2 linked regions of the Danio rerio genome follow. The protein of the gene in region 2 interacts with the protein of the main gene of each other region in a pairwise test. Links are inferred from orthologs where the notes say so. Each region holds a gene or a part of one and is shown on either strand. Other genes may lie near its edges.

Region 1 (3,297 bases), on a different chromosome or scaffold from region 2:
CCTTTTATATAAAGTAATAAATACATTTCAGTAGTTCAGCACTTTCTCCTTGTGTCTTTTCATTGTTATTACACATGACTCATTTTATTTCAGAATTAAATTTTTTTATGTTTGTATTGTTTGGTTTTTTATCTAAATCTGGTTCAATTCCAGGTCAACAGCTCCTTTAGAAACATTATTCCCAGGAAAAAAACATGACCTGTTCAATACTTATTTTCTCTCTTTGTAAAAAATACACTGATTATAGGAATTATAACTTTTGAAATTTCAAAGTGAAATGTTTACTTATGACATGAACATACTCTTAAAGGGACAGTTCCCCCAAAAAAATAAAATGATCATCATTTTACTTTCGCTTTACTTGGGTTTCTTTCTTCTGTTCTGAACACAAAAGATATTGACGAATTACCGGTTTGTAAACATTCAGGAGGCCTGCGCGTCGCGGCTGCAGAAGAAAACCGGGAGTGCTAGCAATTACAGCGAGGGAATGACATCCGATGCAGTACAGAGTTTATTGTTCGATTAGAGAAAAGTTTTATTGATTACATATTATATATATTATTTACATAATGCTTTAAGCGTATTATAACAGTTTGTCACCCAGTGATAAGCACAGTTCTGTCATGATCACCAGCGATCTAACCACCAGAGGTCACTGTTTACCACTACCGTTCACATGAACTACAAATCCACCATGTTATGGACTACATATTCCGCCATGCAACACACACACACCTGCTCCAAGTCTCCTCTGATTACACTCTCGTAAAGTAATCAGGGATGTGACACTGACAACAGGGGTGAGGATCCAAATGCAGGGTTTTATTAGCGAGGTCAAAGCAAGGCAAGGCAAGTTTATTTATATAGCACATTTTATACACAGTGGCAATTCAGTGCAAGCAGTGGTCAATAAAGGGGCAAACACATGTATAAGGGCAATCCAGAGTTGTAACAGGCAGCTGGTCAAAAGGCAGGCAGCAATCAGGATTAAGCAAGGTGAGGAAAACAAGACAAAGGAAAATACGTTGTAGTGTCACCAAAACAGTAGACAAGACTCAGCCCTGAGTGTCTCGAAGTGAGCCGAATATATGTGTGTGGTCATTCATTGAGCAGCATCAGCTGTAAGAGTGTAATCAGAGGAGACTTGGAGCAGGTGTGTGTGTGTGCTGCATGACTGAATATGTAGTTCATAATATGGTGGATTTGTTGTTTATGTGAAAGGTAGTGTTTACCAGCGACCTCTGGTGGTTAGATCGCTGGTGATCATGACAAGTTATTCTGCAAAATTAAGAATAAAGTGAGCAGCGTTCATCTGACGGGTCCATTTGCGATAGCACCCTCCCAATGAATATTGGATAAATGAAATGGCCAAGCATCCAGCCCCAAATATACAACTATCTGATTAAAACTCTAAGTGATTTTACATAAGAGAAGTTAAAGATCTACAAGTCGAGCAATTTTAATTAGGTGCTTGCTCCATTCAGCTCATACGATGGCTGTTAGCCAAAGACGTCTGTGGTTGGCATTAAAAGCAGTGTGGTGTACGCTAAAATTAAAGTTTCTAGACTTTCAAATTTGGCATCCTACCGCACAAAACAACATGTTTACTATTGCAACTGGCCTCTTCTTGCAACTGGTATGCGCGATTGAACCAGTGTGACATAGGTTGGTAATTCCCCTATACTGAAGAAACCTGTAACCATTGACTTTCATAGTTTTTTTCCTACTATGGATGTCTGTGGTTACAGGTTTTCAGCTTTTTTCAAAATGTCTTCTATTGAGTTCAGCAGAAAAAAGAAAACACTTGAGGGAGAGAAAATAGTGAGTACATTTTCAGTATTGAGTGAACTATCCCTTTAAATGCTGTCTAATGATTATTAAATCAACTAAATGAAAACCCTGCTGGTACATCTTCCCATATAATCAAATGTTTTATCCCCAACTGACATCTACAGGACCAGAATGAAGACTTGTCTGCTGAAGTCAAAAGACTCTTTGAAGAGTACAATAAAATGGTATCCTTACTTGCCGTGAAACATAAGAGTGACTTTGTTATTACCACGTGTTGCCTGCAGCTAAAATCGCCAACACAATAAGCTCTTTTTGAGCATCTGAATACTTTTGACACGATTCTCCTTAACCCTTTCACAGATGTTTCTTCTGTCCAAACAGTTTTCACAGTGGGATGAAACTCTACGAACGCTGGAAGGACCCAAACAAGTCCAGCAGATTGATTAGGACCATAATGATTATGATGTCTTTCACTCTACTGACGCGTTTACTTATTACTGATGAATAAAACAGCACTGTCATTCCCAAACATGCATTGGTAATGTGTTTAAAGTCCGCATTAAATCAAAATTTGCATTGTTTATTTTGTTGCCACCACATTGTCAGTCTTAAGGTGAACAATGAATCCGTGCAAATTAATCCATTGAATTATTTTGTTTTGGTAATCTTTAATCAAAATCTGACCATCTGCTTCTGCTTTGGACCAGCCGCATTTGTATGACATCAGGCTGAATCTGATTGGGCAGATCCTACTCAATATACAGCTGCAGTTGGAAATGCTTCATAAAACTGAAATAAAACAAATGCAGATTTTAGATGTTTTGATGACGTCAGGTTGAATCTGACTCATTTTTGCTCTATTTATTTAGTCCAGCTATTATGATGTGTGTATGAAGATGGCTACACTGCAAAGTTTCTCCTAAAAATACCTTAAGCAATGAAATAAAAGTTCGACTGTACTATATAATTGGGTTGTATTTGTATTTATTTATTTTTACAGAACTATGTGACATTTTATTTACATGACAGGTTTTTACATATTTAAATAACATGCAGTCATGTGTAAATAAATCTTTATTTTACTAATATATATATATTATATATATATATTTTTTTTTAAATTAATATTTTTTACCAGATGCATATGGTTTCTGTTTTGTCAATAATATTTTAAGATTTTATTTAAAACACTAAATAAATACATAAAAAAATCGACGATCACTGCCTTTTAAGATTTGAAGAATGTTTGCATCGACTTAAATAACATGCAATCCTGTGCAAAATAAATTAAATTTTTATTCATATACATAAGATATTTTTTTATTAATTGTTAATGAATATTTTTCACCAAATGTATACGGTATCTGCTTTGTATAATAATATAAGATTTAATTTTAAAACACAAAATAAATACATAAGTAAATGGACGATGATGTAATGCACTGAACATTAAATATTAGCGTTGCATTAAATATGTCATTAAAATTAATTTTTCTACCTATCTCA
Region 2 (3,661 bases):
GCACCTTTAATAACAAACAGTTATGGAATGTTCATATAAACATTAAAAAAACTCGTTAAAAATGCTAATTTCAGAGATGGCAAGAAACAAACGGAAGTTATGGTTCATAAAGATTGGCAATATATAATATATGGAGGACAATATAATTGCTGTACACACACCTAAAACTTAGGCAAAGGTCAACTCCATTAGATTTTTTTTTTAATAATAAACCCTTTACTACCACGTGCAGACATGGTACACAGTGTTTGATTAATATCACATAGTCATCAATCTCAAGTTTATTTCCCCGCTTATCTTTGTGCATAAGAAAAACAGATACTCAGATGTGTCTACAAGCAGCAATGTTAAATAGAAAACTTATGAACCCACCTGTGAGCGTTGCGCTCCTACAGCAAACTGTATTATAGCAAAGTTAGCTGTATGACTGCTGTCGATGCGCTCTACAGTGCTGGAATCAATCTTCAGCTCGTTGCTAATCTCAGCACTCTGAATGAAATCCTCTGTTTTCAGGTCTTCCACCCGCTTCAGTTCCCCATCTGCCAATTGGATGATGGAGCCCTTGGTGAAGTAGGGTGGCATTGAAGGAGCTGAGGGTGGGGGTGGAGTTGTCAGCAGGCCAGCAGGTGCTGGAACCACAGGCAAATGCAACTGGGCTTGAACCATAGCTGTGGCAGGGTGGGGGTATGGAGCCGGAGATTCAAAAGTTTCCACTTTGGGGGCTGTTGAGGTGACGAAAGCATGGGGCAGTGCAGCAGTTGATGTAGCGGTAGCTTCAGTTCCACTTACTGGGATGATGACCGGCTGAGTTCCAGGGATGACCAAGTGCTGGGGTAAGGTGGTGTGGTAGCTGAGAGGCTGCTGGTGCCCTGTGCCGGCAAAGTAACCAATGATAGGCTGCTGGGTGGAGTAGAAATTAGTGGAGGGGAGGCTTAGAGAGAGTGACTCTGTGCTGTTAAGTGTGGTCTGAATGACTGCATGAGGAGACTGCGCTGGAACTGCTCCCTTAAGATTGTCCACAGGTGGAGGGGGAAGAGCAAATGAAAGGGAGGAAGATAAGGAGGAACTGCGGGAGACAGGTTTGCCAGCACAAATCCCTCCTTTTTCATGGTGGGATGTCGAGGGAGGCAGCTTGTCTGATGCACCTCCAGAATCAGCACTAGTGGAGCTATGATTATTAGGTACCAGCACCAATGAGGTCCTCATGGCTGTGCTGTCCTGCGTGTACTCGGCAGGTAGCACAACATGTCGAGCTTCAAAGTGACGTGGGCTCTGCTGCTGGTGGATCTGGTGCTGCTGGGCAGAGGAACCCCCTTTGGCAGTGCTGCCCTGCTTCCCTGCACTGGACTCAGAAGATGGACCAAAACGTCTGTCCTTCTCCAGCTCTCCATTCAGCAACTCCCTGGTCCTCATCTCCTCCCTCTTGGGTAAAAGACTTTCTGTGTATGGGACTAAGACCTGTGAAGGGCCACTAAGGGGAAGTGTGTGGTGAGGATGTAAATGTAGGGGCAAGTGTGTATGCGGTGACGAAACAGTTCGAGGGGATATGCTTAGTGGAGAACCAGCAATTTGAACATATTGAGTGGAGTGAGGTGAAGAGGTGTTGTCAGTTGTGACCAGGCCTTGAGGACGGCCCAATTGGTGGTGCTGATCAATTTTGGATGCTGGAGAACTGGAGGAGCTGGCATAAATCTCACGTTGTGTGGTAGTGGTGGCAGCTAAAGGGGGAGCTAGTGGAGAGATGTAGCCAGCGTATGGTGCAGAGTAAGGAGGGTTGATGAAGTGTATATTGTGAGGGAGGGGTGTGTACTGGATTGCGCTAGGAGAATGGGAGAGAGGTGATGTGTACACTGCAGGTATGGTGGTCACTGCAGATAGAGCTCTGGTTGAGTGTGTGGACGAGGAAGGTGTGCTCTCAGCCGTGGCTGACAATGGTTTATATTGAGGCCCATCTGATTCTGCAGACGTGCTGGTGTGCAGCCGGCCTTTGTCATGCCCACTGGCCAGACTGGCAAGCCAAGCCAGGTTCCCTCCACGCTGGCTCTCATTGGCAGGCGCCATCACCATGGGCTTCTCCTCTGAGGGCAGAGTGCTTGCTGGGATTTCACGCTTCTTTGGGGGCAGGCATTCATTGCTCCGCTCCTGGTTTGACTTCATGGTGTCTGAAAATCTTGAACCACTCTTTCCGGATTTTTCTTTCCCCTTTTTTGGCTCTTTTCCTCTCCCTCCTGGTCTCCGTTTGTCTTGCTAACAGAGTGTGCCCTCCTACTGATTGGCTTGGAGCGAGTATGGGAATGGGGTAGAGAGGAGAGTGGTGGTGAGAGGGGATGTGTCCTGTGCCTATGGTCGGATTGACACAGATTTCAGTCTTAAGCAATTGAAGTCACACCTGCTGCGGGAGAGCGGTCCATGCAATTCATGTGGAATCATTTCCTTCCGAGAGAGAGTCTCCAGGACTGCAGGAAGAACCTGAAATATAATAAAGAAACATAATCAGGTTTAATGCACAAACATAATTTCAGCAGCTTTTAGATGATAAAGCCATGTAAACTGAAGAAAATGAGAAACCAAAAAATGAAGGCTGTAAATATTTTGTGCATCAGGATTTATTTCTATGCCACAGTGGTGCTGAATGGACAAATAGCTTGCAGTCGTTTACAGAGGACTATCTTAACAGCAGCTCAACAAATATTTATTGTAAAATAACATGCCTCAACAAACTGATAAATGCATAAGTATATTAGGAAAGTTAGAACTGTCTCTCTATATTGGATGTTAAGTTAAAAATTGTCCATCAAATAAGAAAGCTAGCACAGTTTCTTTTTCCTCTTCCTCCTACTCTAGATTGTATGGGGAGACACGTGACAAAACAATGATGCTGTGCAGTGTTACGGCTTGTTTGACATTCCTCCCTGAGCTCTATTGATTGGACCCATTCAGCTGCGTCTGTTGTCCAGCACTAGTGGGAGGATGGTTTTGCATGATAAACAGGCCCAGATGATTTAACAAGTGTCGCAGTGCTATAAAAGAGGAGGCAGATACCGATGTAAGCGAAACCCTCCCTTTAATTTGGACACTACTAAAAATAGCATAAAGTACCACCAAACAGTACTACCTAATTTTTTGGACATGTACCATGGTACTGAGACTTATGCAAGTATCTTTGTATTACTATATGATGCCAAGACTGTACTACAACTGTTTGGACATGTTAAAACAATGCTTCTTTAGACATGGTACTATTATAATATTCTTTGAAGTAGCGTATGTACCACAAGGAAATAATATATATATACTAACACTAAAAGGAAATACTAATACATAGTAGAGGTTGTGTTTAGGTTCACAAAGGTAATACCATCTCTTAAAGTAGACACAGCAGTCCTTAGCTGAATACAAACAGCAGGAGAATGTCCTCTGTGTTTGCTCTTAAGTCAAAGTAGAGTAGAATGGTTACACAACGACTGAACATCAGTGATTGACGGCTATTGATGCTGAGCAGGGTGTTTATTCTCAGCACTCTCTCAATCAGTGTTTCCTGCTTCTTTTTCCACTTTTCACCCCTACTATCTTATTCCTTCCCTTTGGCTCATATATCTTTTCATCTCTCTATGCACCAACCCCCAACCTCTCTTCTAAGTATTTTCCTTTTGCCATAATT

Evidence for each region. The genes of interacting proteins can lie anywhere in the genome.
Region 1: the proteins of atxn1a (region 2) and dctn3 interact in binary tests that used the Homo sapiens proteins (3 or more experiments, as listed by UniProt). The link is inferred for Danio rerio from reciprocal best matches to the Homo sapiens genes ATXN1 and DCTN3.

What each region holds. Positions count from the first base shown.
Region 1 is NC_133191.1:5,363,092-5,366,388, reverse strand, and holds the end of dctn3 (dynactin subunit 3), read left to right. Parts: intron 1-1,955; coding exon 1,956-2,015; intron 2,016-2,151; coding exon 2,152-2,238; 3' UTR 2,239-2,758; downstream 2,759-3,297. UniProt on the Homo sapiens protein: Part of the dynactin complex that activates the molecular motor dynein for ultra-processive transport along microtubules. Together with dynein may be involved in spindle assembly and cytokinesis.
Region 2 is NC_133194.1:34,917,337-34,920,997, reverse strand, and holds part of atxn1a (ataxin-1a), read right to left. Parts: intron 2,470-3,661; 5' UTR 2,158-2,469; coding exon 373-2,157; intron 1-372. UniProt on the Homo sapiens protein: Chromatin-binding factor that repress Notch signaling in the absence of Notch intracellular domain by acting as a CBF1 corepressor. Binds to the HEY promoter and might assist, along with NCOR2, RBPJ-mediated repression. Binds RNA in vitro.